Drosophila melanogaster: one gene and its partner. The gene in region 1 interacts genetically with each later gene. Each region holds a gene or a part of one and is shown in the gene's direction. Other genes may lie near its edges.

What was found.
Region 2: of tna (region 1) and tara, changing one enhances a phenotype caused by changing the other (phenotypic enhancement), as found in Drosophila melanogaster (one study listed by BioGRID).

The regions. Positions count from the first base shown.
Region 1 is NT_037436.4:10,832,312-10,840,713, forward strand, and holds the start of tna (tonalli), read left to right. Parts: upstream 1-3,216; coding exon 3,217-3,434; intron 3,435-8,402.
Region 2 is NT_033777.3:16,222,621-16,230,920, forward strand, and holds the start of tara (taranis), read left to right. Parts: upstream 1-3,030; 5' UTR 3,031-3,795; coding exon 3,796-3,819; intron 3,820-8,300.

The DNA.
Region 1 (8,402 bases):
TTGAACAGAACCCTTGAGACACTAGGTAGAAAATCTGTTGCTCAGGGTGTTGTACCAGGTATTGTTTTCCACATGCTGTGCTAAAGGGTTAAATTATTGCTATATCAGATCGTATTTGTATTTGGGGGGCGGAAGAGCAACCCTTAGAGAGTAACCCATAATGGGTGGGCGACCCGGGCATAACCCTTACGGCAAACCTTTGCGTACGGACCACCCCCTGAAAACTCACACTCTGATCACCCCCATGTATGGGCACTTATTCTATATTTTACTTAATGCATTCCCCGCTTATCCTCATTTTTATTAGTGTTTCAATATTCTTTTTCACTTTGCTTGGTTGCGTTTTTCCCAGCCATCCTTGCCCCATCCGCTTCCTGTTCTATCCCAGCTTTGTTTGCTCATGTCCTGGATTCCTGTTTGGGTTGGTTTCGTCCGTCCTCATCGGCTCTTTGGTTCTTTGGCTCTTTGGATGTGGCTCGTTTCAGCCATTAAATGGACAAATGAGGGATATAAAACAATTCGCCTTGGCTTCCTTTCTTTTCCTTTCGTTTCCTTTCTGCATGTCGCTCCTGTCCGTTTCCTTTTGGGTTTCTTCTGGCCTTTTTTGGGTCTCTTCTTGGATTTCTTTTTTTTTCACATAAGCATTTTATTTATTATTATATATGTGTGTGTGTGTGAGTGTGTGTGTGGATGGGTGGGTGGGTATTTCCTATTTGGTCCGGGTTTGGTCACTTTATTTGTTTGTACCTTTCCAATGCAAAGTGTTTTGTATCCTTTTTGTGTGGGGAGGAATGCGGAGGGTTACTGGGTTTGGCATTCGGGTGCGAGGATTTATGCTCATGTTGGTTTTCTGGGTGTTCCTATTTTGCCTTTGGGTGTGTATATCCATCCCACTCTCGTCTGGGCTCGTCCTTTCATGTGTCCTGTTTATGTAATCGCCGACATTAGTTTCTGACTGCTCTGCCATGTGTTTGCTTCACTTTTTTATGCACTCGCTCATATGATTTTTTTCAAATTTTTGCTTCTATTTAGAAAAAAACATTTTCAAATTTAATTTTGAGTTTACACCTTTAAGATTACGATTTAAAGGGAATTAAAAACACAAATTCTAGGCTGAAAAATATCTTAGCTATGTCTTTGAGATTTAATTAAACTAAAATCAACAATTTCATTATTTTGAAATATTTATCCTGCTAGTAATACTTTTTTGCCGATTTAGGGTACTTCACAAGTCGGCCTCATTCTGAATATTTTTTTCTAATGTTTGCTATCGTAGATGGAAAGGAATCTTCCCTCGATTCCACTTTGACCTGTCCTTGTCCGTTTCTTTCTCATTTATTTTGATTTCTTTTTTATACATTTTTTCCACTCATTTTTCCTTTGGCTTTGCCAAAAAGTTACCTTAATTTTCGAAGCTCTCCTTTTGGACCACTCCTTGCTGGAATTTCGGAGATTTCGTCCTTCGCTTTTTGTGCTGGCGCATAGAAAATGAAATGAAAATAAAATGATACTCATTAATTTGATAAATCGCGGACACAACAGAACTCGGCTTTGGTCCTCCTTGGGTTTTCTTTATGTACTTCCTTAGTCCTTTCCACCACTTCATCCTCTTAGTTGGTTTTCCTCGCTTTGCTTAATAATACCGAAAGATTTTATAAATGACCAAGCTGCAAATGGAAAAAGTTGACCTTTAGCGTAAATAGAAACACCATCAACCCACCACCGCCCCCGTTAAATGTTTCCGCTTTTGTGAGCGTTGATTTTGTTTTCCCCACCCCATCATCATCGTCATCTTTCGCATTTCTTCGTGAATTTTTAAGTAATTTCATCGTCCATTGTACACTTCAGAAATTTGTAAGCAAGACTTCTTCACCACTTGGGCATAGAAATATTCTGTCCAACATTACGCACTTGGTCAGCTATCTGCGCTCTTGCCCCTGCGTGTTTCCCTTATTTTCCTTGGATTTTTTTTCGGAGCTGCCAAGCTTTTATTAGCACACATTTAATAGGGTCACGCGTGTACTCCCACCCCGTGGTAGGTGTTTTTTTATTATTATTAATTTTCCAGCAAGTTACATGGGCACCAAGCCGAAAGCAAAACAAGGGCAGGACGAACAGGATGCGGGAGGAGCCAAGGAGCAAATCAACCGCCCACAAAACAGGACAAACACCAAGCAAACGAAATGCGAAAGGACACTTAACTGCGACGTACAACAAAAAATAGCGGTTCGTTGGGCGTTAGGAAATGAGGTCCTATGCCAAATGAGGTCACTTTTTCCACCTCTCACTTCTCAATTTTCCCAGCTAGACCGACGAACGACGAAAATATTTGAGGAATTACCCCAAAGTGTATTGCGAAGAAAGCGGAAAGTTAAGGTATATACTTATATTACTCTTTTAATAAAACTAGATCATTTAGAAAACTCGACGAGTTTAAAAATTCCCTTATTATTTGAATGAATTGAGTTACTATTGTGTTGCAAAGAATTTTCATAGAGATGGTCTATAATTTTCTAAGTATATCCCATACAAATGGGAATTTACATTGATGAAATACATTCATTGATATGAATTAAGAAGATATTTCGCAGTAATAGCAGATTGCAATATTTTTATTGAAAATTTTTCGAAAAGTATATTTTCAGCACTCTCAATAAATCGCACAGTAGGAATATTCCACTCATATGAGGATCACAGCACAAGGTCTAATGTACTTAAAACCCGACTTTAAGAGTTTATAGAAATACGCTGACAGTAGCTGCTGTTATTCGCCAGCTAACTGAGTCAACAAACCATTAAAGCAATCAGTTTGGGGATCGCATTGCATTACCAGGAATTTTTCATATATTACCGTGAAATGAAACTCGATCCCGGACGCACATGACGTATACGCAATATGCAAAAAGCTTCGCGTGGCCTTCAGAATGGGTGGTGAAGGCAATCGAGTGCCAGCCGTTGCTGTAAGACTGCAGCTGATGGCGCTGGTGATTAGTCCACCTATGGCTAAGATGTGCGCTGGCCAACTGTAATAACTACTGCCAGGCACTGGAGGCACTACTAATAAAAATTAATCGCAGAGGAAGTTGGACAAAGAACTAGACGGCAGTTGCCAAAGAGAGTTCGATGCGTTTGGAAGTGCGGTAAAAAAATCTCGGTTCGATTAGACGTGGTTTGTTCAACGTGGCGTATACGTAACGCAGATTGGCAAGTGGCGAAATGAGTGAAAAGGTGGAACAAGTGAAGGAGTCCAGAAAGGAGAAAGTCAAGGAGGAAATCACCAAAGATGATTCGACTTCCGTTTTAACGTTTGACCCACATCCCTATTTTCCATTCCTGTTCGATCCCTATTCGTCATCCAAATATGGCTCACAAGTGAGGGAAAGAAAAATCGATCGATGCTTGAAGCAGTTGCAGGATGCACTCAACGGAGGGAAGTATGTTATCCTTAGATATAATAGACTATATATATATCATAGATATCGAATTAGTATTTATAATTACAGTGTTAAGATAAGTCTTTCAGTTTTGAGACTTACAATAGTAACGGTACGACAATAATTTACCAAATCTATGGCCTCACACTACAACATAACAATCTTTTGCCAAGCGAATGACTTCATAAAGCAATCCCACCTTCTTTACCTACTACGTTCACCCTTAATCACCATCAATTATGTTCACTGTCAATTGGCAAATTGACAAACGATTGCAGTTGGATTTGTGTAAATAATTCAGAGCGAAGCACAATGCCAGCCGGGGCAAATTCGGCTCGTCCTCCGGCTGGCTGACTATTCATAAGGATCAAAGGCACACAGATGTACAGACATACACAGACATACACTGGCTGGCATTCCAGTTAACCCGAAAGTGAGTTGTCTTGCGGTTGTTGCTGTTGCTTGTCAAGGGGCATTAGCATTTCAGGACTGTAACTAATCACAAATGATAACATTTGCATGTGCAAACACAGACGCACGCACACACAGGCATACAAGGACGAAGGTGCGGGCCAGGCTATTTGCATACTTAAGTGTGCAGTTATTACCTTGTTATATCGATATAAATAACAACTGCGAAACGGACGAACACAGATTGCGCCTAATGAATCCTTGTTTGTTCTAATAAGTTTTTAATGCATTATTGATTTACACATTGACCGGACAAAAGTGGGACTTAGCAGCAGATTAAAATGGCCAGAAATCACCACAGCAATTGTAATGTTTAAATATTCAATGGGCTCGAGCGGAAAGTATTCAAACCCAATATATATATATATAACATATTCTTCAAAGCTCTTGATTAATCTTTCTTTCTTTCTCAATTGCTTGGCATAATAAATAAAAATTGCACATTCATAGAAAATACATAATATCAAGTATACGCCACGTAAACCGTTTGAACAAGACATATCCCTTGGCAGCAATCAAATCGAGGAGCACACAAAATGCATATGAAAACATTTAATTGTATTTGCATACAATTTTCCCATATCTACAGAGGCCAACACCCACTACGGTCAGAAATGAATATTTATTGCCAGCAAAAATTCAAATAAATTAAATAATGAAGATTGCATTTTAACGGGCAATTTTTGCATTTGGGATCAACACAACAAAAAAATATATAAAATTGAGAGAGGGTTCCTATCTCGATTTGTGATTGAATTGTCACATATCATATTTTGCTGATGACTTTTTTTCTATTTTCAGCTTTTTCTATAAATAAATAATAATATCAGAAATAATTTGTTGCACATTTCGTTTCGGTTTGCCAACCGCAAATACGAATCAATGGCACAAACATTCCGTTCGAGTTCTGTAATATTTTGTGAAACACAAAAAATAAAATGGCAACAAAATACATTTGCTAAAACTACTATAATAATAATTAAAACAAATAAAAATAGTTGCGGTGAGATAATTCACAGAATTTATGCGGAAAAGTCAAATATGATAATTGCAACTTTCCGTGGGAAACGGACAGTAGAAAATAAATAATGAGCTAAAAGTGGGAGTGGTGGTTGGTTGGTAAATGTGTGCCATATTTAAATAAAGCCAAAGCTGATTATAATTGAAATTTTGGTACGTCAAATGGCGCAAAAAATAAATCGAATAATTACAAAAATATTTACTGACATTTCATTCTGTAAAATGGGACAAATAAAAGTTAACTAGTTGAAAAATGTGCGGGAAGTGGTAGTTAAGTTAAAATACATTTGTTATTTGAAGAGCTGCAGTATTGCATAGTAATTATATTTAAAATTTATAATAATATTGCTCAGTTCAAGACTAACATTTTTTATATTTGTTTAGTTTCGTTAGCAGTAAAAGGTTAATATTTGTTCATTTGTATACAACAAAGTAGTTTGCAGTGCCTTAAAGAACTTAATTAAATTGTTCAGAACACAAAAGAGCCATAAATTGATTAAGGATTTTTACGACGGCCTTCGGGATGAATATCTCAAGAATTCCAGGCGATTTTCTAACTGAGTAAACAAACAAGATTTTCAATCTTAAGCTTGCTTCCTGTGCTCATCCCTCTGATTTTCCACTTTCCTCGGCTCGGATGCTGCAAAACTTTATTTCCATAAAGCGGCGAGCATAAAATTAATTTACTAATTGATGAGGCCCTGATCTCAATACGCAAAATACCCCGACGAATTATCATCATCGTCGACAATGCAAACAAGTTGAAATTCAATTACGCGAGCGACGGAGACGATGGAGGGCGAAGATTTGGAGGGAATGGGGCTCTTCGGAGGTGGAAACTGAGAAAAATAATCATAAGGCTGCGAGAAAACAAAGCGAAAAGCGAAGAAGCCAAAATGGAAAGGGAATTGTGAACTGAAGTGGGGCGGTGGATACGAGCTAAAGAGCAATAGCAAATATAAGTAAATAAATAAACCGAATAAACTGAAAATTTATTGAAGAAATACGCGAGCCGCACAAACAAAGGCAGCGTACAATGATGATGATGATGATCAATCGGTGGGGCTTTCAGGGGGGAGCATAAATAGGGGGGGGGAGGTGCCATATAGGCGACAATACGCAACCAAAATCGGCGACGATGCTGTCGATAAACCGACTTAAATCTCACACCCCGACGACAGCAATGGATGACGCCAATGAAAAAGCGACGACAAATGACGACTTCGACAATTAGAATCCAAGCGTTGCCCTGCTGCCCATAAACAGATACAAATGCAGAGAAAGAAAAATGTATCTCTTAATTACAAAAATCTCAAAAATGTAGAACAGGACTTTCCAGAGCAGTGATTACGAGCCTAAGATACATTTGTATCTTTATACATTTTTATATCACATTTTCAAGTAAAAACTTTTTTGCGTGTAAAAAGCCCAGATACGAAGTCAGATACAGCGACACTCCAAGGTTCCAAATGGGTCCATGTGCATCGAGTGATTTCACAACATTTAATAAATAATTTCATAATGGCTTCGCTGACTTCCATTCCGAAATTCAAATGAAAAAGTCACCGAAAAAGATTTCGTTCCTCTTTGCACATAATTTAATTTTGGTTGTTTTTTTTTTTTCCTCGTCTGCATCTTTCGTTTGTATGTATGTACTCAATTAAAAAGCAAAAGACCAAAGAAGCAGCAAAATGGAAAATTATTCCGAGAATCGTTTGGCGCTAGCTCGACCAATGCTGTTAAAACGCAGAAAAATTGAGAGTTGGGGTACGAGGATAGCGAAATTTTCCTTATTGGAAGAAATGGAAAAGTTCAAAGTTAAAGTTAATGAGGTGGCAGCGGGAAATGGTAAGGGATCGCAGGAAGTGGGGTCATGAAAACTTTTGAAACTTTTTGTCTCTTATTTGTGGAAGCGAGAATTTTATTAACCATAATTACAACTAATTCTGAGAGTTTTGGCCCATCCTAAACAATTGCATAAAAAGTTCAGTCCGTATATCAAAATAATAATTTTAAATAATTAAAGAGGAAAGTATGCTTCACTTTCAAAAAATAATTAATTATAATATAATTATAATTTAATTATACTTTTCATTTTCTAAAACTAATGCATAACACTTAGTGAACATTCCAATGTTTTAACAATATATTCTTAATTTTATCGGCTTGCTTCAAACTATAAGCAATTGCAACATGTTTTCAAAGTATTTTCTGCAGATCTTTCGCCTGCCTAAGATGCTTATAATTATAAACCAAGGCAAAAACTTTATTTATTGTTTTCGGTTCACTTAAGGCCTCTTCTCCTAATTCTTTGCTCATCTTTCTCGATTTTCACTTCGATTTCCATCACAATTTTAAGAATTGCTGCCCAGCTCCATACAACTAGTTGTGTATTTTCATTTCGTGGTGGCCCACAAAAACAATTTGTTTATGAACAAAAAGTATTTTCTGGGCGAGCGGGGATGGAAAATGTATTTTCATTGCTTTTGATATGGGAAATAATTTACAAAATAAATTAAAGCCATCTGGCATTAGCAGATCGTTGGTGGGCGCGGCGCGTCTTCTTCGACGGAATGTGATCCATGAGTGGAAAGTTCCAGTGGCAAAACCTAAACTAAACTTTAGAAAAACGCTTCCGCCTTCGCTGAGCGGTCGCCAATTAAATTCCAGGCACATCGTTTAGTTAATTAAGCCATCTCAATCAGGGAGACTCACACAATCCAGACTCTGAGACATTCGCCGAGTGACAGCGAAAGAACAACAATAATAGTAATGCGGAGAAAAGGCTTTCGCATGCCATAAATTAAAGAACAAATTATGCAAATCGCCAGCGAGGAAAACACATAAAGCTGACGAAAATGAGGGGGGGGGGCGGTGGAGTTCTGGGGACAAACAGCCCACAACGATGACGACAACAAGTCACCCACAACTGCAATTGCGGAATTAACTGCACTTGGCAGTAGCTCTAGCTCGAAGGGGGCGTGGCGGGGCGGGTTTGCAGTACTTGGCTGGCAGGCAAATTAAAAACCCAATGACGGCACAAAATCATAAACAAAGCAGTTGAGGAGCAGCCAATTCGAGGGGTTTCCAACTGCCACAGACAGAGGCCATCTTCCAATCTTCCGATGGCATGAAAGGTACAAAAGTAGCGAAACAAAGACACCCTTGGGAATATAAATTAAGCCAGGTATTACATTTTAAAAATCACCTCATGAACTCTAGAACTCAATATACCCTGCACCAGTGAGGCACATTTTTAGCACTGAGCTGGCGACAATTAATGTGATTATGTTAATTAATTGCCTTGATTAAATATCAATGCAATGGACAACTGACGTCTGATTGCCATTTCAAATGTATTACTTAATGAGTGCAAATCCGTTTGGCAAACAAACTGAATGCGATCTGTTCAGAATTTAATGTTGGATTGTACTTAACTTTTTAGATTTTTGAAATGTTTTCAAATAGATGTTAAGC
Region 2 (8,300 bases), on another chromosome or scaffold:
ATCATCAAAGCGAGCACTCAACCCCCAGCTAGCCAGCTGAACGAAAGAAGCGGGCTGCATGGGATGAGATGTGGACACGGCTCTAGTTGGGCATGAGAAGCGCGTAGAAAGGCCTGTGGCAGAAATGAAATATCAATAAATGATTAACATTTCGGGCAATCAAGAGAATTTTATTAGAAACACAGAATTATTAAAGCCTTCCGTAGGCAAAGTCGGTTAAGACTTTAATAATGGAAGTTGAGCAATCGAAAAGGCTTATGGGTGATAAGAGGTACATTCAGTACATCTACTGATCATCATCAAGAGAACCCTATTACTTTCTTTTATAAACTCTTAAAATACGTTTATAATCGTAACGATTTGCCTAGACCGTATAGGTTTACTTATGTATCTCTCTCTCTCTCTCTGCTGATTTATCTGCATATTTCATTAAATTACTGTCTTGATCTATCTATCTTGGCTCTCTACGCAATCTGTGATCAATTGATAAAAGTCATTATACCCCTTGTTTTAATAGATAGTTTTAACTTTCCGGAAATTCCGACTTGCTGCCTATGCGCCCATCTATCTCTACATATCCCATATTCTCCCTGTGCCCCCTATTACGGGGGAACCCCGTAACCCAAGGCAATGCATATTTGAACTTTTTTTTTTTTTTGATAGAGCAGACAAAGCCATCGGCGACTGATGAAGCGCCCCTTCCCCTGTTTCTGCTCCTGCCTCTGTCACTTCAGGCTGAGTCCCCTTAGACTGAAGCTTCGACTGAGACAGACCACAGACTCCGTCTTCGACCTTTCGTAGACAAAGCAGAGCCGCAACTGGCGGCAATAACCACGCGACAAGAACGGCGCTCGTCGACGGTGACGCTGTCGCTGCTGAGACTCGTTAATGTTGCTGATACCATGGCCATAGCCATAGCCATAGCCATAGGTTGCCAGTTGCGAGTTGGTGTGGCCGTTGCTGTTGCTGTTGTTGCCGCATTGGATTCTGTTCCTCTGTTCCTGCTGGTGCTTCTGCTTCTGCCGCTGCCACTGCCACTGCGATGTTGTAAAAGTTTTGCGCACAAATCAGCAGCACAGCCAAAGGATACGCAAAGTGGATGAATAACAGCGGCAACAACATCACCACACTGAGCGATCAAACATTCAAACGGAAATGTATTTGCTTAAATGGAACACATTATTATTAAACATAAGCATGATTGAGAAAATAATTACATAGAAATACGCCTTTTAAATATTTCTAAAATAAAACAAAAATGTTTAAAACATATATTTTTGGATTGTTTGTACAGATATTATATTCATCTTTAGAATTTCCTGAGAAACGTAGAGCTAAGGATTTAAGCTCTTGTTTTCCATACTATTTACAGCAATATACATGGAGTTTTTTATGAAGTTTCTAGAAATTATATTTGTTTTCAGTGAAAATGGCATTTTCAGCGATTGGCGCTCGAAGGCGAACAATGAATGCCACAGCCGCCAGAGTGGCCAGCATCGTTAAAGCTTTAACCGACTCCCCTTTCTGCTAGCCTCCCATTACCACGGCGCTGTCCCCTCTTTCAAATCCCCACAAAAAAAAACCCCTTTTGCCAATTTCGAGGCTGCGCTGCGTCGCACAAATTTCAATGCGCTCTTGCCTCGAAACGGTGGAAAATGCGCGTCCGTTGTTAGTCGGAAAACGTCGTCATCCGTCGACGGTTGTTTTGGCTGCCTTTGGACCAGGAGTTTTCCGCCAGCAGAGGCAGCGACAGAAGCAGAGGCAGCGACAAAAGCAGCGACCACGACAGAACTAGAAATCCGGCATTACACTCAACAAAAACTTTTGCTAAACCAATTATTCATGAACTAAAAAAAAGCGTTTGCATAATGTCCTAAATTTATGAACAAGTTTCATATAACTTAGAATATTTCTACCTGATCAATTTTTATCAGAATTTTTAACCATTTTATTATCCATTCTTGTTTAAGTGCGGCTTTAGCTTTTGCCTTGGCAGCAGAAACTTCGGCTCTTCGTTCGGCCTGGCTCTCATAAATGACATAGAGAGAGAGAGAGAGGAAAAGAGGGAGGTGGATGACGGTTGGTAACTGTGGGAGAGCGTGGGCCAAACAAAGAGCCACCCAACTCTCTCCTAAGCACTGGGTGTGCGAGTGTGTGTGTGCAGCGAAGCAAGCAAAGCAATCAGCAGTCAGCGGGGTCGGAGGGTGGGGAATTGCTCTCGTAAGTGTGACTGTGTGTGGGGAAAGAGAGCCTAGCCACCCAAATCGCCCACTTTTATCAGTCAGCAAAAGGTCGTTCGGCACTGTGGTCGCTTCGCTCCGCAGAGCACCTGACTCACTGTCAACTGATAAAAGTCGCCGATATCAGGTGCGACGTTATGCCACCAGCCTTTGCAATCAGAAAAGATGATATGAGCACTTAGGATCGTCTTTGAACTGATTCGAAATAAATTTATTTGATCATCATTTAAAACTACATATATAAGAGATATTAGATAATTCTATGATTTCTTTTAAGGACTTAGTAATTTAGGATCGTTTGTACAAACTTTGCAATTTTATTTACCAAACCCACACGTATACCGATCCTCCGAAAAATGTATTTCTGTTCCGCCTCTTACCAAAGTCATTAATAAGATGATTTTCGCTATATCAATCATACACGCCCTGTTACCCTTGCAGAAACAAAAATATGGAAATATTTGTAGCATTCAGTTTTCATCTTACAAAATCGTCAATAATCTGTTGGAGATCTTTATTTATTTACAAAGCCAAAAAGAGGAAGTTTAGTTAGGCGCTTACGTTGCGTATAAGTTAAAGGAATGGTTGTAAATTCTTCACAAGCTGCAGAAGTTCGATTTCCAGCACAAAAATATCGATCCCCCATTATGAACAAAGATCCAATATTATCGATACATCTGTGTACTTGGCTTCGTGCAGAAACCGTTAGGCGCCAATCACAATTATCGACTTTATGAAAACGAGCAAAGCGGCCAAAGCAAAGCAAAACCCATACGAGCTGAGCTGAAGCAATCCGAATTGAACCGAGCCAAGGCGAGTTGGCTTTGTTTGTTGGTCGGGCCCACTAAAATAGTTCAGGAAATGATGAAAACGTGGAGCTGGGGCGAAGCAGAGAGGGCGGAAGGCATGGTACATTGAAAGCATTGTGGGTCTGAGTTTTGGTATTGGGATTGGAGCCATGGCTTTCGCCCGATTGTGTCCCAGCCTGGTGGCTTTCCACAGAGCAACTGAAAATACGAAAATTCGAGGCGGAAAAGCTGGCAACAACAACGCGCGCATGTGGCAGAGTTGCCAAAGCGCAGAGAGTTTTCCAGGCGCGGCGACGGCAACCCTGGCCACCCGGCTGTCGAGTGTGTTGGCCAGGCCGAAAGCATTCAGTACGAACTCTGCACTTCGCACAACAAGACGCCAAGCGACCAGCGACGACGACGCCAAAGGCGCTCGGCCAAAGCCACAGAGCCCGAGCAAAAACTACGTAAATTTTCCACAGCGATTTTCCCCATTTTTCCCAGTTGAACAACAGCGCCAAAAACAAAAACATCGGACCAGCGGTCTGCATGTGTGTTTGTGCCAGAGCGTGTGTGTTTTGTGTGTGTTATATAGTGAATCGTTCTTGGCCCGACGATCGACTTCCCCATCACCCTCAAACCCGCAAACATGTGGAGCTGGGGCTAAGGAACACCACGGAACCCAAAACAACCAGCGACTCAGAAAAAGGCGCCAAACTTAAATTATTGCCAGCCGAGATTACCTCCTCAAGACTTCGCAGGAAACCATGAAAATGTGGACGGAATCCAATGTGAGTAGATCGTGATAAGGCCTTACTATGGCTCACTCTATAAGTACCGACCTTGATCTTGTCCAATGATATTGGCCATCGATTGGTTATTGTCATCGTGTTTGTTCTAGCTCTAGATGGACTACACTTGAATCTAAATTGAAATGATCAAATTTTGATCAGAAAATACTATTTCAATTTTGGTCCAGCATATAATGTGATATCTGAGCTGAACTTACGACATATAATATCTAATAATGGTATTTTTAAAATGTAAAGTGATCGTTCGTAATTTAAAGCTATGCAATCTAATTATAAGAAAATATACATTTCCTAAAAATATTAGAAATATACCAATGTTTTTAGATTTGATTATCAATCATATGGTTGTATGGTGTCACCTTATTATTAACATTCAGTTTCCCTACATTTATTGGCTTCATTCTTATCACATATGTATGGTTCATTGCGGTGTATGATATGATTGCATTTGAGTACACATGTGAGGTGCATTCGCTATCTTTGTTTTGATTCTTGAGTTTCTTCTATCGGCATTTACGCTTTATGCGCTTGTTTCCTTTGCCGTTTACCGGCGAATCCAATTGAAAAGTCATTTGGCTACGGCCGGGAAATGTTCAATGGATTGGCGTGGGGCGCCACGAGGGGTGAGCATCGGGGGGTCAAGGATGGGTGCCTCCAGCGGAGCAGCACGCACATCCATGTGGGGCATTTGTAGTAGGCACGCACAGCACGCGTCGTCAGCTAGCCATTTGCTCGATTCCCTCGAATCCCCCGATTCTCGATGCCCGATTCCGATTCAGATACGATTTCCATTCCCAAGTTGGGGTCTTTCCCGACAAGCCCCCATCGCAATCGAAGCCAAGTAAACAAAAGCCAACAACATCAAGGTTTTTTCTCCCTCTTTGTTTTCTTTCTTTATTTCTACCGCTTGCAGCAATTAAATGAAAGTTTTTGTGATGATGGATGATGAAAGGGGGGCGGTGGGTGGTGCGGACGTGATGGTGATTGTGGTGGTAGAGGCGTAGAAGCCGGCGAGCAAAACAAAAACGGCAAAAATGTCATACACGTCGAGGGGGTGGCAATCGCATGGGGCGGTGCGGTTGGTTCGGGGCATGTAAAGTGCATTGGCATTTAAGATTCTTTGCAGGCTTCACTTCCAAGTTCCGCAAACAAATAAAAACCGAAGAGGAAATACATTTTTGAAATAAACTTGACCCACAATTGGACAAAGTGTTCGATGCAAGATATGTAGATATGCCGGCTTTGAGAAAAATGTTTGCTACCAGGAATTTGTCAGGTAGCAATTTATTTAAAAATGTTAAGACAAAATAATATTCCCAAACTTTTTAGTTAATAGTTTGTACTTGTGATCAAGCTTGCATATGTATGTACATACGTGCACATTCTTTAATGGGTTTTTGGTAATGTTACAAATGTGTAATGTCAATTTTTTATTTGAGGTGTTTAGGTAAAAGAACGGGTAAATGAGGTATATTTAGCCAAGCCTTGGAAAAGTCTGTTGTTAAAAAGTCAACAAATTCGACCGCTCCACATAAATGATTAACAAGGGCAAAGGTCGTAAAACGGAAAATCAACAATAAATACACGTACCAGTCCCCTCTTACCAATTTACGCACAAACACACACACATACACACCGCAATGGAATCCACTTGTCCTTGACACAGTGACGTACCAAAGTCCGAACGTTGTATAATAATAGCATCATGACTTGCGCTTGTTCCGCTCCTTTCTGGGGGATGGCAGTGGGCGTGGCACCCCGGCAACTCATTTTCATTATCGGTCCCATGCAAATGCCCGTCGCATACCTTAGGTCAGTTTCCGTATCATAAAAAAGCCCGGATACGAAACACATTCACGGGGAGAGGGGCAGCAGCCGGCGGCGGACGAACCCTTTTTTCCGGGCTATAAATACAGGCAAAAATCTCTAACTCGAACCGCAAACATGTGGTGAATGAACAATTGCCGCCATTGGGAATTCGAGTTCTACATTTTATTTTGCGCATTTAAAGAACGGTTTTTGTATTCGTATTTCATTAAAAATATGTTACTTCAAAATTAAAAATATTTAAAACTGATTATATGAGTGGCATAAAATCTTAAAAACTTGTAAACTTTTATGCACTGTGCATAAAATTCTGTTATTAATATGTTTTAATGCAATTTCAACATTATCGTTAACATCATCGTTTGCACATATGTAGATGTTTTAAAACCACATTCGCATTATTAACGCGGAGTAATGAACTTCTGTATGTTGAGTGGTATTTTTGCACAATTGATGCGGACAATTCCAATCTAGTGATGTTTGACTGTATAACGGTTTTATGCGTATTTACCATTACGCTTTCAATGGGCAATAATAATGGACAGTGTGCTGCCTCTAGTCTTCTTCTTCCCGCTCTTTGCGGCCATAATTTATTGGCCACTTGTTTCTAAGCGACGGCAGAGCAACCTGCTGTCATGAATGAACGCAGAATGAGTTGTAGGAGGGGGAGGAGGATGAGGATGGTGGGGTGAGTGACTGGCTAAAAGAGTGAGTGAATGCCACTCGCTAATAAGCATCAAGAGCAGACACAAAAGGGCAAAAGCAACAGCAAAAGCAAGAGTCAACAATAACCAGTGCAGGAGTGAAAGAGAGGGAGGTAGTAGGCCGGCAGCACGTGCTAAGCACATTTAACGACAACTACAACAACAACAAAGAGCGGCCACAAAAACGATTAAATTAAAAACCAAAACAAACTAAAGAAACGGCGCAGCGCAGCTCTGCCAACGGCACAGCCGCAGTCGCCGTCAACGTCGACGCCAACGCCAGCGGCGCAAGGAGAGAGATACAAAAACAATGTTGACCACACACACAAAGGCACACACCAAAATAAAAGGAAAACAATAAAAAACGAAAACGACGAAAGCAGCGCGCATAATAAACGTCAATTTAAAAATGCTAAAAGCTCGCGACGCCTACTGCGCCGGCGACAATAATAAAAATAATAATAAGGAAAAGAAAAATCCAAGGGAAACGCCGAAAGTTAAGAAGTAAACACAAGCACTCACATACACTGACACACAGGCAGAGAGCAATAAAAAATAACCCTTTTTCCGGTTTTGTTTTGCTTTGCAGTTTCTAATCAAGAGGAAATACATGAAAGCTAACCAAATGCCGCTACTTTTTTCTTGGTTTGGGGCGGTGAGATTTCTTTTTGGCATTTAGCATAGTGAAAACACCGCAATCCTTTTTATGTTGTGCGAAACAGTGACAGAAAGCGGAAAAAAGAAAACAAATTGACAGACTTGTTAAGGGTTTGAGCATATTTACGGATTGAGTGTTCATTTCGTGAGTGGAACTCAAGAAAATAGATAAGTGGTTTAGTGAATAAGAATTAGGAATTATAAGGGAAGTCGACTGTCTTTCAACTAAAAGACCATAAGCTAGTACTGACATAAGTTAACAATGCTCGTAATAATCAAGAATGAATTGAAATTATCTTAGCACAATCCTCGATACTATATCTATAGATATGTATCTTAAGATATGAATAGCAAAACATTTTCGTGATTACTACGGGGGAAACACGACAACGCTTCATAGTAAAAAGCATTAACGATTAGATCAGCTGTCCGTGGCATTCATTGAGCAATTTTTCAAAGCCAAATATTTACTACGAGTTCACACATACCAGTCGGCACGCGAGAATTCACTATCAACCCACGCCGATTATTCAGTGGCTATAAAAACAATAAAAATCATCTCTCACCCATTTACATAACGATCAAAACAAAAGCACCGCGGCACGGCCACCAGCTAATTGGGGTAGGGTCGAAGTCGGATTCACTCACAATCGCATAGACACTCGCGTTCGATGCCGGGTGTCATAAATAATTTCGATTTGACTTATATTATTAGCTAAATAAATATGAATGAAAAAAAGCGGACAGTACAGCAGAGCAGAGCAGTAAAAAAGAAGGCAGACGGAAGCAAACAAGTCAGAATGAGGCATGAAATTGAATGACTGAGTGAATTGGAAGACAAAGCGGCGCCGCCGCCGACTGCGCTGCTTAGCGTGAGAAAACCCATTCAAATTGTCAAACACAAATGACTACGTAATGATCGGCCCCTAATAAATGACAATCGAATGGGTATGAATGAACGAAACCAGCGAGCAATGACGAACGAGAGCGAAAATGCGATTCCAATAACGACGACACCAAATGCGGATCGCATGGGGAATACAAATGGATGATCATCAGTGGAAAGAAGTCGTCAAGTGCCGCCCAGATACTAGGAACAATTGAATTTCTGAAATATCAGATGGGCAATAAAGTTTTCGAATACATTTATTCGAGACACCCAGTTTACTTAAGAGAAAAAACGTTCCTAGAATACAGTTAATGCTAAACGCACAGACAATACCAAATCCATTTAAAAAGCATATCCTTTGAGCTAAGCACACCACCCAGTTT